3 linked regions of the Cricetulus griseus genome follow. The protein of the gene in region 3 interacts with the protein of the main gene of each other region in a pairwise test. Links are inferred from orthologs where the notes say so. Each region holds a gene or a part of one and is shown on either strand. Other genes may lie near its edges. The genes, in order: Mbd1, Mrpl44 and Setdb1.

Evidence for each region.
Region 1: the proteins of Setdb1 (region 3) and Mbd1 interact in binary tests that used the Homo sapiens proteins (3 or more experiments, as listed by UniProt). The link is inferred for Cricetulus griseus from reciprocal best matches to the Homo sapiens genes SETDB1 and MBD1.
Region 2: the proteins of Setdb1 (region 3) and Mrpl44 interact in a two-hybrid assay, tested with the Homo sapiens proteins (2 studies listed by BioGRID and IntAct). The link is inferred for Cricetulus griseus from reciprocal best matches to the Homo sapiens genes SETDB1 and MRPL44.

The regions. Positions count from the first base shown.
Region 1 is NC_048595.1:165,547,507-165,553,425, reverse strand, and holds the start of Mbd1 (methyl-CpG-binding domain protein 1), read left to right. Parts: upstream 1-1,865; 5' UTR 1,866-2,137; intron 2,138-3,099; 5' UTR 3,100-3,124; coding exon 3,125-3,234; intron 3,235-5,919. UniProt on the Homo sapiens protein: Transcriptional repressor that binds CpG islands in promoters where the DNA is methylated at position 5 of cytosine within CpG dinucleotides. Binding is abolished by the presence of 7-mG that is produced by DNA damage by methylmethanesulfonate (MMS).
Region 2 is NC_048595.1:432,481,121-432,487,005, forward strand, and holds the start of Mrpl44 (39S ribosomal protein L44, mitochondrial), read left to right. Parts: upstream 1-2,023; 5' UTR 2,024-2,070; coding exon 2,071-2,249; coding exon of another isoform or gene 2,250-2,287; intron 2,288-3,593; coding exon 3,594-4,062; intron 4,063-5,069; coding exon 5,070-5,248; intron 5,249-5,885. UniProt on the Homo sapiens protein: Component of the 39S subunit of mitochondrial ribosome. May have a function in the assembly/stability of nascent mitochondrial polypeptides exiting the ribosome.
Region 3 is NW_023276806.1:61,140,020-61,145,247, reverse strand, and holds part of Setdb1 (histone-lysine N-methyltransferase SETDB1), read right to left. Parts: intron 3,096-5,228; coding exon 2,944-3,095; intron 1-2,943. UniProt on the Homo sapiens protein: Histone methyltransferase that specifically trimethylates 'Lys-9' of histone H3. H3 'Lys-9' trimethylation represents a specific tag for epigenetic transcriptional repression by recruiting HP1 (CBX1, CBX3 and/or CBX5) proteins to methylated histones.

The sequences.
Region 1 (5,919 bases), on a different chromosome or scaffold from region 3:
GGGGATCCCTGTCTGGATCAGACTGGCAGCTCAACTCGACTTCTCCCACATGCCTACAGTTTAAAGCTTCAGATACCTTTTTTCCTTGTAGATACCTTCTCAGGATGGCTAGAAGTTTTTCTCATCACTAATAAAAGATCACAAACAGTTTCTGATCTCCTTTTTAGGGAGATCATCCTCCGTTTTTGGAGTTCCAACCTCCCTTCAATCAGATGAGCCTGAATTTACCTTTCTAATCTAAAAACTTTGGACAAAGCCCTTAACAACCCATATCTCCTACCATCCCCAGTCTTCAGGCAAAGCTGAACAAACTAATCATTCTCTCAAAAATATTCTTATCAAACTTTCCCAAGAACTACATACAGATTGGATAAAACTCCTGCTATTGGCTCTCCTGTGACTAAGCCCTTCCAAAGAAGCCCCTCTTCATTCCCCCCTTTTTTGACAAAACTGATCTCATCTCGTCATACTATCTCTTGTTTCAAACCTTAATCTCTGCATATCAGTTATTGAATAATGCCTTGCCTAACTGCTTTGAAGAATACTGGTTGTGCAACTAGAACCAAAGAAATGCACCCTGACCCTGAAAACCAGTGCCAAAGAAACACACTTTGTCTCTGGAGTCAGAGCCAGTGAAAGAAATACACCCTGGCCCTAAAACTAGAAGCAAAAGGCTAAAAAGGACCAGTGAAAGAAACATACTTTGGCCCTGAAACCAGAGCCAAATCTGACCCTAAACCTGTGCAGAAAACTAACCAATCCTGGAGCAGATCTAGCCATCCTAAACTCAGGGATTGAAATCTGACCAAACCTCACCCTGGAAAAACTCCACCCCATAAAAATCCCTATATAAACTCTGTGTCTGTTCAGCTTGTGGTTGTTCAGGCTGCCCAGCTGTACTCTGCCATCCTGACATAGAGCAGCCACTTTCCTGGATCCTTCTCTCCCAATAAATCTCTTGAATGAGGTTTGGGTGAGACCAGAGAGGACCCTGGGTAGAGAGGAACTTCGGCTCTTTGGGGCAGGGGGAGGGGGGTGAGGCAGAATCGTAACAACTTTGCCAGGAAGCCCGCTCCTGCAGGAGCAGAGCTGATACACCAGGGAAGCCTTTCACTGAAGCAAAGCTGTAAGCTGCTATGCGTACTGTGACCGTGGTATTTCTTGGCTCCCGAGTGCCAGCCAGGATACCTTTCTATCCAAGCTGTAACACTCAGTATTCTGTGACTCCTGAGTGCCAGAATACCTTCCCATCTGAGCTGTAACACTCAGTATTCTTTGGCTCCCGAGTGCCATAATCCATCCCTGTCCATACCAACACAGCAGGGCCAAGGAGCCACTGGGTGAAGCACAAAAATGGAGTTAGCTTAATGCAAAACAGGTTACCTTGGTCAGTTCACCATCCCCTCCCATTGGCCTTTGAGGTATGGTCAAGCCCTCATTTGGTCCCTTCATTAACTGCTTACACATCTCGCCTTCTCCCTGGTTCCCAAGGAAGAAACCTGGCCAGAATGCGCAGTGCTCCTGGAGGTTCCAGGAAGTAGTGAGTACCAATCCTGAAGAACGTAGTCGCAGCAACAAACTGTGTGTGGGGGGGTGTCTCCTAGGAAGGAAGAGGACAAACGAGCTCTGTGATCGTGAACCTGCTATTTTTGGAGACGAAAAACTAGAGCAGGCAAGCTGGCCAGGCTGTCCACTTCCCCTTGTGTTGGGACCAGACGTCGCCTGCACGCTCGGGACAAGAAGCGCGCACTGACTTGGGAAAGCGCAGGCGCACAGGCAAAGAGGGAACTGAGAGAGATGCGGATGTTATCAGAGCGCAGGCGCAGCAGATCTCTGGAAAACCGCGCGCCCCTGAAAAGACGCAGTACGCAAGCGCTGGAGCCTCCCCACTGAGGGCAGGCGTGTGCAGACTGCACGCAGGTGTGGGTCCTGGTCAGAGCCCAAAAGGCAGCCCGTGAGTTTCCGGTTCCGGGAGTAGCCAACGGCAGCCCAGGCCACAAAACTAGTGCTTTGGCGGAGCTTGCGGTGGAGGTGAAGGAGGAAGAAGAGTGGACCAGGCGGGGCGCGCGGGCGCGGGATCGTCCCCATGGGTCCACGGGCCTAGCGCGGTGGAAGCTAAGGGCCTCGTGTCCAGCTGGTGAGACAGCCGCCGTGGGCATGGAAATGGAGAGTGCTCAGGAGGAGCTGGGGAGGAGTTGAGACTCCGAACGCTAGCGGGGAGACGCGAAGGGCCCTGAGGCCGGGAGGAGGAATGGCGTCTTCTGCGTATTGAGAGAGATCCTGGGGAAACTGGTTCGGGGCGATGACAACAATGTCGAGGGACTAGAATGGAGAGGAATGGAAGAGATCAGAACGTTTAGAGAGACGTCAGGCCTCCATGTTAACGGGATAGAAATGGGAACCCAAAGCTGATAGTGAGAAGACGGGGCCTGAGACAGGTCATAGGAGAAATAGCAGGGTTAGAATTATGAGGGACTAGAAACTCGTGGAGAACGAAAAGTGGAATGTCAGAAGACTGACACGGGTGCTATTGTCCCCGAACACCAACAGAAACTGAGAGGCAGGTCACTGTGTGAAGGAACAAGGAAGTTTTCACAGGGTATTAAGAGAAATGGAGAATGACAAAGATAAGGGTAAGAGTAGCGAACGCTGACAGTAGAGGTGAGGGATGAGACTGGAGAGGAATTGTGGGCCAGAAAAACGAGGGAAAATCAGTTTGGGGGAGAGCTTTGGACTTGAGGGGGAGATTGCAGGCTGAAGAATGAAAGGAAAGGGGACTGGTGTATGGAAGAGTTGGGCGCTCTCATGCATATAAATGCAGCCAGAACACTGACAGACATTGGAAACTCAGGTCAAGGAAAATGTGAATTAAGTTAAACTGAAGTTGGGAGGTGAGGACAAGAGACTAGGGACCTCATGCCAGATTGTAGTGTATGTGTTTGGAGGGTGTAGTATATATGTTGGAGGATGATAAAGAAGAGGGATGGCAAGGAAATACATGCGAATGTCTGGGGCAAGTATTAACATCAACACCGTTGTGGCCTAGAAGCAGAGTGCCACTAATTTCTTTCATACCTTACCTACTTCCAATCCTCCTAGGTGTTTCTTCATTTCCGAAGTACCTATGGCTGGGGACTGGCAGGACTGCCCAGCCCTGGGCCCTGGCTGGAAGCGACGTGAGGCCTTTCGAAAGTCAGGGGCCTCTTGTGGACGCTCAGACATCTATTATCTGAGGTAATGGGTGGGTTTTGGTCAGTGTTTAATAGAGTTGGGCCTTGTTAGTAATTAAACCGGTTTGTTTAAATCTATACATGGAGTTAAAATTGTTCACATAGTCAGTCCCTTATTAAAAGTTTTGTGTTTTCATAATCATCCATCCTTAATAAAGCTTATTTGACCAAAGTCAATATGCACATTCAATTGTGATTATTCACAGACACAAATGGGGCAGCCAAAAATTTGAATTGTCTAGTGCTTGCATTCCTAATAAGTTGAACAAGAACTTTTTGCTCCCTTTTGTACTGCAAATCCAGCATCCTTTGTGTGGTCTATTTAGTGCCATATTTTTGTTGTCAAATTTGTTGTTTAAAAATCTCCCAAATAAAGTGTTTTCTAGTGTTCTGAGTGCAAGAAGAAGGTCATGTGCTTTTTCTCCTTGTCAGATAAGCTTCCATGAATTGCATGTACTATCTGCTTGAGTTACAGTGTTAAAAATCAGAAATGTTACATCCCAAAAGAGAAGAGGGAACTTGCTTGGATGTGTGTGAGGCTGCTCTGGAAAGAACAAAAATTAAAATTTGTAGTACTTGATGCTCAGAGAAGTTGGGAAAGTAGCTGAATTTGTAGATTCATGAACTGATGGCTAGTAAAGAGTAGTGAACAACATTGTTATGAAGAAAGCCAAAGATATATTGGTCAGAATTAGGAAAAGGTCAATCATTTTAGCTGCTTCTGTCTGGTTTGCATGTTTCAGAAGGTGATATGGTATAAAAACATTAAACTTGTGATGTACTTCTGTATATCAGGTGTCTTCAGAAAAATAAGACCAAAACACTGGCAGACAAATCTAGACGAAACATTCTCTGAAGCCAGTGTGGCTCTTAATTATTAACTGATCGTGAAGTGAAGTCATTTGTAAGAAACAAATGTTACAAGGTCTTTAAACAAAATCACATAAAACAAGACTATGCATTGATCAGCTGCTAAAAATGTGACAGGCTTGCTGGAACCCACCTGTGTATTTCCTGGAGCAATGGTTCTTGCTGCATGAATTCAGGGTTTGTAGAACCTCATAATACATAATTACTGCATATAATGAGAATTGACTATAAACACATCAACATTAAAGTTCCTAAGTGTCGGGGCCAGTCGACCTGTCAAACAGTACCTGAAAAGAGGAGTGAGGATTTAGAAAGAGACAAAAGAAAGGATAGAATCAGGAGGGCTTTCAGTGAACGCTGCAGCAGCCCAGAATTTATTTCTCATAGTTTTTTTATACCCTAAACAAAAGGGGTGGGCAAAAGCCTTTCTTTCAAGAAACAAACAAGCACAATCACCTCCTTAATTCTCAAAACATCTAGTAACCACACCTCTGGTCAAACATCCTATTATTTGGCCTTGAGGAGCAAGAACAAGCTTGAACTCTCTGACCTTAAGATGGAATGGAGTCACTGTGGGCTCCCACACATAAGCATGTGTTCTGTATTCGTGAAACAGCTACTAACATTTCTACACCCTTCCTGTTTATCTAAGTTGTCATTTCCCTAGAATATCATAAAATTTCAGATATTTTCAACTTTTATGTTTTTAACTTTTTCCACATATGAAATTGTATAAAAATTTCAAAACTTACAAGTAATTGTCAAAAGATACATATTTATCAGACTAGTAAATGGGTTTGTTAGTTTTGTGGATGCTGATAGGAAATGTGATACTTCCTGGGCCAGATATAAAAAAAATTTCTCACAGTAGTATCAGAGCCTAAAATACCTGTTTTTGGCATTTCTTAGAATCCCAATCCCCATAGGATGACATGAAGAGGGCTAAGTAGCATATATGCTGCACTGTATATAGGAAAGGCAGCCTGTGTATTTGAGTTTAGAAAATCAAGTATCAGTATGATAAGCATTGCTGTCCTTTCCCCTGGAAGGGAGGGGACCTTTTCAAAAGTTACCTGTTTTTACAAACAATGAGAAGGTAGTTTGTTTCAGGAGATAATGAATGCCTCTGATGATTCTTGCAGAAGTGAAAAGACCTAGAATGTCATCCCTCAACATTAGCTACTTATACTTTGTATTGAATATAATTTCATTTTCATGTTTTAAAAAATAGTTCTGTTATAAGCTTTTATGATCATGCATTTGGTATGTAATACATAACATTTGAGTACTGGGTACTTGTCTAGTGTTCTTGGAGCCTTGAGTTTGATTTCTAGTACTATATACACTTCTGAAAAACTGGCACTGGGGTGGTAGAAGCAGGAGGATCAGAAGTTCATCTTTCTTTACATATGAGTTTCAAAGCCCTTTGGGTTAAAATGATATCCCCATCTCAAAGCAAAACAAACCAAAATACATATTTATATCTTACTTACTTACTATTTTGTGTTGATTTTTACTCATATTTTCAACACTAATGGTGTTACATGTTGTAAGTATGTTTATGTGTCTTCATTATTATTTATTTTGGAGCAGGGTCTCTCTCTACTGAGCCCTGGGTATACTGGAACTGATTGTATAGACCAGGCTGGCCTTAAACTCAGAGATCCGCCCACCTGCCTTTGCCTCCCAAGTGCTGGGATTAAAGGCATGTGTACAGTGCCCTGCCTGCTTATGTGTCTATGCACAGTTACCAATAGTAATACAATCTGAGGAATACACAAACTCAGTGATATAGTACACTACACTATACACCTAAGCT
Region 2 (5,885 bases), on a different chromosome or scaffold from region 3:
TATTTATCCCAATAATAAATGAAACGTTGCAGAAATAACAATTCCCCATGATTTGGTGAATCCACTTATCTGATGATGAATGAATTTTCAATGCTTTTACTACTATTTTTATCTGTTTTAGAGAATTTGCTTCAACTGGATGTCCATTGGAAGCCCCTTTATAGGTTAAATAAGCTGTTCAGACTCTCTCTCCATCTTGAAGTGTTAAGCTAAGAACCTCAGACTGGGCTGTACAATCTTAGCGCTGAAGACTTTCTAACTAGGCAGTAACATGTATTTCAAGGGAGATGAAATGGATGTCTGGGCAAAAAGACGGATGCGAGTATTGTTTGGAGGTCAATTACAATAATCAGAGAGAGGGGCAGGGAGGTACCTGATGTGGAAATAAATTGAGAAGTAATTTAGTAACCAGAACAAACAGTTTGTGAAAACAGGCACCATTAAAGACTCAGGAGCCTAGTCTGGGTGACTGCAAGGGTACTGCTGCCTTTATATAGAACCCTAGAAAGGTTCCTCTAAAGGTCAAGATGTTCAGCACAAAACTAAAAGCAGAGACACTTCCCTTTGTGACTTCCATTTACATTCTGTTAGGAAAGCTTCAGATAGTGAAGTTTTTTTTTTTCTTTAAGATTTTATTTATTTATTATGTATACAACATTCTGCTTCCATGGATATCTGCACACCAGAAGAGGGCACCAGATCTCATAACGGATGGTTGTGAGCCACCATGTGGTTGCTGGGAATTGAACTCAGGACCTCTGGAAGGGCAGTCAGTGCTCTTAAACTCTGAGCCATCTCTCCAGCCCCAGTGAAGATTTTTTTTTAAAGCAATAATTTTGCTGTTAATATTTTGATGCCCCGCCCAACACACACACACACACACACACACACACACACACACACACACACACACACACACACACACACACTTCTTTTCCCCATGATTAAAAAAAAAAAAAGTAGTTGTTATAACATACAAACCTAGGTTGAACTGGCTGTCTCCTGTGACCAGATTGGTACCTGGCACAACTGTCATCACAGAGGTGTCATCCAGTAACTGATGGAGGCAGATGCAGAGACCCACAGCCAAACATTAGACAGAGTTCAGGAATTCTGCGGAGGAAGAGGACAAAGGAGCGTAGGAACCAGACTGGTCGAGGGCACCACGGGAAGACTCACACAATTACTCATCTGGGCACATAGATGTCTACAGAGACTGAACAGACAATCTGGGAGCCGGCTTGAGAGTGACCTAGGCACTCTGCATAAGTGTCACATTTTTGTTTCTTTTTCCTCTTACGAGACTCCTAAGATAGGGAATTGGGCTTGTCACCTACCTTTTTACCAGCTTTTGGGACCCTACGCATACTGGGTCGCCTTGCCCAGCCTCAATACATGTGGAGGTGCCTAGTCTTATGGCAATTTGATATGCCATGTTTTATTGATACTCATAGGAGACTTGCACTTTTCCTGGGTGAAGACCGAAGAGGAGGTGATTGGGGTTCGGAGGGGGAGATGTGGGAGAGGGGTTGGGAGAATGGAGACTGGAGAATGCGGTAAGATGTAAAATGGATAAAAAATAAAATGCAAACTTTAATTTTGGTTAAGTCAAACACATTTCTGAACGTAAGGCCTTTGGCAGTGAGATTATTTTGGGAGAAGGGTCAGGTGAAACCTCGAATTTAGGAAAACATTTGCTCAGTGGTGGCAGGATTGATGTTCTACAACCTAAGGCTGAATGTAAACAAGTGTTTCTCTCTTGAGAATCTAACTGCGTTCTTCAAACTGAAAGTTCAACAAGTTTTTGTTTTACTTCAGTGGGAAATAAACACAATAGAGACTGACAGGGAAATGCAACTTTTCCCAGCAATTTCTGCACCCATACTCAGATCCTGGGCAGGAAGGAGCACTTGCGCAGGCGCAGAATACGCAGTCCGCCGCCGACCCGCCCTTGTGGTGGGTGTTTCCTAATTCTGAGTCCTCCCTTTGCCGCTCAGTTCCTGGGGAACTGTGTTCTGGCGACACCGGTCCGGCTGCCTTCCTTCCGCCCTTCGTTGCCTTGATCCAGCCATGGCTTCTGCTGTGGTGCGGCTGCTGCAGCGGGGCCCTCGCTGCCTCTTGGCTCCGGCAGCCCCCACACTGGTCCCCCCGGTTCGGGGAGTGAAGAAGGGGTTCCGGGCAGCCTTCCGCTTCCAGAAGGAGCTGGAGCGATGGCGGCTGCAGCGCTGCCCGCCGCCACCCGTGCGACGGTAGGTGGGCGGCCGAGGACACTGGGCTGCAGCTGCAGGCAGGTGGTGGGGAGGCCGCGCGCGGCCTGGGGCAGAGGAGAAGGGCGACACTGGCCGGGCTGTCCCCTGCAGAATCCCAGTAACCCCAAATAGAGAAATGGGGCCTGCTAGAGAGTGATCGCTTGAGGTTGGCCCAGCTTTGCGACTGCTCAGTCTCCGGCCTGAGATTCTTAGGGCGCCTTTAGGGGCGATAGCATCATTCTACACACAGTCCTGCAAACCAGGGCAGAAAAGTTCACTTCTGTGTAGAACTGAACTACGTGTCCACTGTCCGGAGTGAGAGGGGAAACGTTTAGGTTTTTGATCTAGTTAATCTCGTCGCTGGCTGGCCAGACACAGAAAAATAGCCATACGCTCTTACGAAGTGCACCATGCTTGCTTATGAGCCTGCTTCTTGCATCTTCTGTTTACGATGTCGCTGTGGACAAAAGTACACGTAGATGTACTTCATTCTTAGTCTGACTGGCACTTGACCGCCGTTAGATTGTTAGTACACCTAAAGAGGTGGGAACTGTCTCTAGTGTTTGGGGAACTTACTCCTGATGTGAAATTGTGGTTACTACTTTAATCTTGGTCTCCAGGAGAACACTGATCATGTTTACACTAATTCTTGAATTGTGTATTTAAAGTGTATGAGCACACACAGCCCCTTGTGTCTGCTCGGCAAACACTCCACCACTAAACTATAGCAGCCTCAAGCCTCACCATGGTTATGGATTTTTTGTTTGTTTGTTTGTTTGTTTTTGGAGACAGGGTTTCTCTGTGGCTTTGGAGGCTGCCCTGGAACTAGCTCTTGCAGACCAAGCTGGTCTTGAACTCACAGAGATCCGCCTGCCTCTGCATACTGCCCAGCTTAACATGCTTATAATACTGGTACTAGCTTAAGTGGACATTTCTGAAATTTAAGTAAATAGGATATAAACTAAATATAATATACTTTTAGTTTCTGGTCTGAATCTATATAGTTAGAATTTGTTTATACTTAGGTGTAAAGCATAATTTCATTGTCAGGGCAGAAAGAAGAAATTGAAAAGCTTGAACAATGGTCTAATGTAATGCCAGCAATCACTTTAATGTGGCAGTTAAGCCAAAGGGAAAATTAATCCTAACCATGTGTGTAGAATGTAACAAAGACCGCCAGTATTCGTCTGCGTTGCTTTTTTGTATTTAAACTGTTAGAACTTGACGTTAAAAGAAGCAGACTACGTTTTGTCCCTTTGTATAATTTCCTTTATCTAATAAAGCTAGAGCACAGTTGTGCATGGTGTCCTCCTGTCCTTACCATCTCTGTCTCTGCATCCTCAGTTCCGAGAAGCCAAACTGGGATTACCATGCGGAAATACAAGCCTTTGGGGCTCGGTTACAAGAAACCTTTTCCTTGGACCTTCTCAAAACTGCTTTCGTCAATAGCTGCTATATTAAAAGTGAAGAGGCGAAACGTCAGAAACTTGGGGTTGAGAAAGAAGCCGTTCTTCTGAATCTTAAGGACAATCAAGAACTATCTGAACAAGGGCTGTCTTTTTCACATAAGTGCCTCACACAGTTTCTTGAAGATGAGTTCCCAGATTTGCCCACCGAAGGCATTGAAAGTCTAGTTAGCTTTCTTACTGGTGAGGCAGTTGTCTGTCATGTGGCTAGAAACTTGGCTGTGGAGCAGTTGGCCCTTAGTGCAGAATTCCCTGTCCCCCTGCCTGTATTGCGGCGAACTTTCTTTGCAGTGATTGGAGCCCTGCTACAGAGCAGCGGACCTGAAAGGGCTGCGCTTTTCATCAGGGTGGGTATCGCTAATTCTACTTGTTCACACACACACACACACACACACACACACTTGATGAGGACAAACGAAAAGTGTCTTTCGTTCATACCTTTGATATATCTTTATAGAACAGACTGTTTCTCCCCAGAAAAACTGTCAAAGACCTAAACTTTTTTTTTTTTTTTTTTTTTTTTTTGGTAATTTTGTTGTTATTTCAATTTTTTTTTCTTTTGCGGATAGAGTGGAGTGCAAATATTAAATGCTGGGTTGTGAGTTCTGAAGGATTTAAGTCATTTTCAGCTTCTAATTTTTTTGTTTGTTTGTTTATTTGTTTGTTTTTCGAAACAGGGTTTCTCTGTGTAGCTTTGGAGCCTATCCTGGCACTCGCTCTGGAGACCAGGCTGGCCTCGAACTCACAGAGATCTGCCTGCCTCTGCCTCCCGAGTGCTGGGATTAAAGGCGTGTGCCACCAACGTCCGGCTAGTTTTGTTTTTTGTTTGTTTGGCTTTAAGGGGAAAGATTTATTTTAGCTCAGGGTCTAAAAAGGAATGTAGCCTGCCATGGTGGAAGGTGCGGCTGTGGGGGTGTGTCCTTAGGAGGCAGATAGCCACATGCTGTCTTCTACTTTGAATTTTGAAGTCATATTGGTCATATTGCTTGACATTGTTTTCTTAGGATTTGAAATTGAAATGTTTTTTTAAATTCAACTGTGATTTTTTGTTGTTGTTGTTAAAACTACAAACAAACAAGAACAACCTATGGTATAACTAACTCTGATAGAGTGTTTACTTGCCTTGTATGTGTGAGCCCATGGGGGAGAAGCCCAAACTGGAATTCCATAGCCTAAAACTGAAAATGTCCTAAAAATCTCAACTTTTGTAAGCAACACTTTGATGCAAAAGTTTCAAATTTTGGAGCATTTCAGATTTTCAGGCTAGATGTTTTAACATGTATGTTGGTCATTTATTCTGGTCGTAATATGCTTTGTTCTAATTTAAATGTATAAATGGTCATTTTATGCACAGGACTTTTTAATTACACAAATGACAGGGAAAGAGCTCTTTGAGATGTGGACTGTTGTAAATCCTATGGGACTACTCGTAGAGGAACTGAAGAAGAGAGACATTTCGGCTCCCGAGTCTAGACTCACCAGGCAGTCTGGAAGCACAACTGCTTTGCCTTTGTATTTTGTTGGTTTATACTGGTTAGTAAAAAATTATTCTTCACTTCATAACTTTGATTGGAAGCCTTAAAGATAGACTTCCAGTCTTTAAATGTTACTTCTAACAGCATTAAAATTGTATCTCTGAGCTGGGCATGGTGGTGCATGCTTTAATCTTAGCCTAGCATTCAGGAGGTAGAGGCAAGCAGATCTCTGTGAGTTCAAGGCCAGATTGGTCTACATCCAGGACAGAGACCCTGGTGGGTCAGGGGTGGGGTCTGATATCTGGATTCCCTCCCCGCTTTTTCCTATTAGAGGAAGACAAGTTACCTGTGTTTTGTTAATAGTAACTTTTAAAGATTTTTGTGTCTCTGAGTATTGGCCTGCGTGTGTGTATGCACCGAATTCGTGTGGAGACCAGAAGAAGCCACCAGTTCTGCTGGAGTTACAGATGGTTGTTAGCTGCTGTGTTGGTGCTGGGAACCACACCTGGGTTCTCTGCAAGAGCAGCCAGTGCTCTGAACCACTGAGCCTTCCATCCAGCTCCTGCTAAGTCATTTTTTTGCCAGCTGTTTGCTGTAGAATTTCACAGGGTATAAGCTAGCTTCATAAAAAATAAGAGATAATTTCTATCTGTTGGAGCTTTACCTTAATCTGTTCTTGGCAGCAGCTTCAACTA
Region 3 (5,228 bases):
GACCCTGTTTCGCTTTAATTCCTGCATTCAGCAGGCAGAGGTAGACAAATTTCTAAGTTTGAGGCCACTTTTGTCTACATACTGATTTCTAGGCCAGCCAGGGCTACTTGTGAGACCCTGTTTCAAAAGAAAGTAACAATCAAAGTGTAAAATCCAAAATGAAGCTCCATAGCTTCAGAATGACTATTCTATACTATACAGAAGTTCAAATAGAGACTTTTGGTCTGGGCTATGTTAATCTAGCTGCATGATTATTTTTATTTGCATGTTGTTTACAATAGTGATTTCAATTGAAAAAAATTAAGTGATCATAAAAAAAAAGCTGGGTATTGGTGGCCTACTCCTTTAATCCCAGCACTCGGGAGGCAGAGGCAGGGTATCTCTGTGAGTTCAAGGCCAGCCTGGTCTCCAGAGCAAGTGCCAGGATAGGCTCCAAAGCTACACAGAGAAACCCTGTCTCAAAAAAACAAAAAACAAAACAAACAAACAAAAAAACCAAACAAACAACCCCAATGACAGGATATATACATATATTCTAGTTATATGTATCTGTAAGTGACAGACATACAGAGAAGCCAAGATGGGTAGTTGTTAGGGGTGACCATGGAAACTGAGGCAAATAGGCAAAAGGAGTATTTTGAAATGATACAAATTTGCTAAACTTGGATTACTACATAAATGTACTAAAACTCAAATCATAGTTAACATGTGTATGTTTTATGTTATGAGAATAATACCTTAATGTAACACCATATAACAGAAATCCCAGCACACAGGAGGCAAAGAGAGGTGTTTCATTTTGAGTTTGTGGCCAGTCTGGTCAATGTAGGAAGTTCCAAAACAGCCAGGGTTACATAGTGACATTATCTCAAAAAAAAAAAAAAAAAACAACAAAAAGGGGCTGGAGAGATGTCTCAGTGATTAGGAGCACCGCTGTTCTTCCATGAGCTGGGTTCAATTACCAGCACCCACATGGCAGCTCAAAACTGTCTGTAACTCCAATATCTGACACCCTCACAAAGACAAACATGTAGGGGAAACATCAGTGAACATAAAATAAAATTTAAAAAGATTAAAAAAACAACAAAAGGCTGGGGAGATGGCTCAGCAATTGGAAGAACTAGCTGCTTTTCCAGAGGACACAGGTTGAGTTCCAGCACCCACAAGGAAGCTCACAACCAGGCAAGACTCCAGTTTCAGGGGATCCTATGACCTCTACTGGCCTCTGTGGATACTGGGCACACACACAGTAGACATGGTAGATAAACATACCTGTAAGCAAAATATCCATACAAGGAAAAAAAACAGACACACCACCCTTAAGAGAAAACCCACAACAAATAAAACCAAACAAGCAAACAAGCAAGCACTGTTAGGGAATCCAAATAAATGCTGAATTTACCTACTAAGGTAAACCATAAGATACAGCATAAATCTGGTATGTTGGCCTATGTCAGTAATCACAGCATTTAGAAAACAGAAGTATTTTGCCAAGCAGTTGTGGTTCACATCTTTAATCCCAGCACTCGGGAGGAAGAGACAACAGGCGGATCTCTGTGAGTTCCAGACCATCTTGGTCTACAGAACGAGATCCAGGACAGGCTCCAAAGCTACAGAGAAACCGAGAAACCCTGTTTTTAAAAAAAAAAAAAAAAAAAAAAAAAAGCAGTACTGCTACAAGTTTAAGACTAATATGCACTACACGGTAGGTTCAACATCACACAGTTACAGTAAAATCCTATCTTAAAAATTCTAGAGAGATGGCTCAATGGATACAGTGTTTGCATCACAAGACCTAAGTCCTGGAGTTTGGATCCTCAGACCCTAAACCTGTAATCATAGGACTCACAAGGCAGAGACACACTGTAAGCTGGCTATCTATACATGCTAGAATTAGCAAGCTCCAGGTTCAATGAGACTCTGCCTCCATAATAAAGTGAAGGAAGAAAGCTGTAAACCTCTGAATTCTACATGCATACACACCTACATACATGTACGTACTCACACATCCAAAACATGCATATGTACGCATACACTGTGACCATTAATGTCACATTGACAAAATTAAATTACTTGGGAAATGGAACTCTGTGAAAGCCAATGGAGAATTATTTTGATTGTGTAGAGGTGGAAGGACCTGCGCACTGTGGGTGGTTATCATTCCCTAGACTTCATAAAGAGAGAAAGAGAGCTAGCTGAGCAGGCAGCATGAGGCAGTCTGTCTCCAGACTTCACATACAATGGAACCAGATGCTCCAGACTCTTGCCACTATGAATCCCTGTGAACCAGACTAAGTCCCTTTCCCTTTAACTGAGTTTTGGTTGTTTGTTTTTGTTTTGTTTTTCAAGAAAGGGTTTCTCTGTAATGGGTAGGAGCCTGTCCTGGAACTCAGAGATCCGCCTGTCTCTGCCTCCCGAGTGTTGGGATTAAAGTTATGCACCACCAACACCTAGCTCCCATTTAACTGATTTTGTCAGAACATTTTATCATAGTAACTGAAAAAGAAATTTAACATAGATAGGTATATCACACACAAACATGGGGGGAGGGGGGAGACAGAAAATAAATATACCTCATCTGAAATGGGAAAAGGAAGCAATCAGGATATAGCACTTACGGAACTTGCTTTTTTCTATAATAAATAAGCCCAGCAAGTGGGTATGAGGAATTGCTGACAATATGTTTCCTTATTTTCTACCTGCTCATCTTCTAATAATTCACCTTCCATTCTAAGAACTAACTTTCTTTCTTTCTTTTTTTCTTTCTTTCTTTCTTCCTTCCTTTTTGTGGTCTTTTTGAGACAGGCTCTCTCTGCGTAGCTCTGCTGTTCTGGAACTCAAGACATCTGCCTGCCTCTGCCTCCTCCAGTGCTGGGACTACAAGCGCATGCCACCACACTTGGCCCATTCTAAGAATTTTCTAACTAAAGCTTCATCATTTACCTGAATCAATACTGAGGACATCATCATCTTCATCAGGAATCTCAATTATTTCTGTAGGCTGGGAAGCTTCATCCTCGGAGCTACTGTCATGATACTGCAGTCCCAGCTTAGAGTAGAAATCCTTCACCAAAGACTCACAATTAATCACTGCCCTAATATTGGAACACATTAGAAAAGATCAAAGCCAGTGGGGAAAGTAAGTTATTATTAGAGCATTAGAATTTATACACATTTATGCAATACCAAGCCTAGGAGCTCACACCTATGATCCTAGTACTTAGGAGCCTGAGGTACCAGAACTGACTAAGTTTGAGGTCAGCTTGAACAATACAGTGAGTTCAGGGCCAGCAAGGCCTACAAGTGAGAAACCTTTAAAAACAGCAACAACAACACAGTAACAAGAAAAAAAAAAAAAAAAAAAAAAAAAAAAAAAACAAGAAATATGTATGTATGTTATGTATGTATGTATAGACTGTTTGCCCTTCATTTTTCAAAGTATCTATTCAGAATGCTTTTTCCATAATGTTTCTTGTTTCTACATGACACAATTTGGCAGAGTTGTATCTTTCTACCTGCTGGAAGTCAGAAGACCTGGTACTAATTATCTATATGGATTTGGGAACTAAGAATAAGGTTTTTGTTGAGCCTGAGTCACAAGGAGCCCCCAAGGAGACCAGGAAGACAGACCCACTGATGCAAATGCACAAGGTTTATTAAATTGTCTATCCTACCTCGGGAGGGACCCTGTCTAGCAAGCTGATGCAGCAGCCTCCAGAGGGGAAGTTCCCTGTCTACTGCTAGGTTTTAAAGACAAAAGTTACAGAATTACATCAGTAGGCACGGGTTGCTTTCTGATTGGTTGACATGTGGGAACAATCAGGAAAATTTCTCAAAGTCATATTTTGGCATAAAATACCTGAGTACCAGGTATTCTCATTGGTCAGTGCTGAGAGGGAACATTCTGTGGTTTCTATGGTTTTGTCTTGTTACTTGCAGGTGGCCTATCATACATAGATACCAATAGTTTTTAGAACTGTATCCTGGAGACTACAGGGGAGGCTTCTGACTCCCCTGGAGCTTCTTTTGTGGCCAAACAGTTCCCAGGATCCAAGAACCTACAAAGTTGGGGCGGGGGAGGGGGTTCTGGAGTTTCTTTGTCTTTAGTTTTGGCACGACGCTCCAGGAGGCCAGAGGATCTAGAGTTTCTTTGTGTTAGAGGCCTACCTGTCTTTTCTGTACCCGGTCATGGCTGCTAAAGCAGGGAGCTGAGTGAGGGTCTGGTCCCTTTATTTTTAAATTATTAGAAGCCTTTTAGTTTAGTTTACCCCTTTCAGTTTTAAATAGTGGCTTAATTTATACAGGAAGGATGGCACATGCCTTCACCTTTAATTTCAGGGGCAAAGGCAGGGGGATCTCTATGAGTTCCAGGCCGTCAGTCTACATAGTGAATTCCAAGGCAGCCAGAGTCATGTAAAGAGACACTACATCCAAGGGGGAAAAAAAAAAAGGAAAATACATAAGCTGGACAATGGTGATGTATGCCTTTACTCCTAGTACTCAAGAGGCAGAAGCAGGAGGATCTTTCCGAGTGATCCTCTGCTGAGGCCAACCTGAACTACAGAAAGAGTTCCAGGACAGCCAAAGACACATAGAGAAACTTTCCCTCAAAACCAAAAACCAAAACAAGTAAGTAGTTGCAACAGTTTTCAACTAGTTTATCAACAATCCAAAATTCACCTGAGTGCAATACTAACATCATCTACTTGGTTGACTGAAGTTGCTGTGGCAATCTGATTGGAATTTGTTAATGTTTCACAGTTAAAGACAGCAAGTTGAGAGGTTGACGATTTAGCTCAACTGGCAGAATGATTGCTTAACCCTTGGTGCAATCCCAAACACAACCCGTAACTCGGGCATGCTGGCCCACACCTATAATCCCAACACTGCGGATGTAAAAGAGCAACATCAGGAGGGTGGAGATCATGACCAAGCAAATTCAAGGCTACACTCTGCTAGTGGTGAGACCCTAAAAAACCAACCAAACCAAAGCTGGGGTGCTGTAACTGCAGCACTCACTCTGGAGATCTCCGCAAGTTTCAGGCCAGCTAAAGTTACACATTGAGATTCTGTCTCACAACAAAATGAAAAACAGAGCTGGGTGGTAGTGCTAAGTGCCTTTCATTCCAAGCACTCAGGGGACAGAGACAGGCAGATCTCTGTGAGTTCGAAGCCAGCCTGATCTTACTGTTACACAGACAAACCCTATCTTAAAACAGCCCCCACCA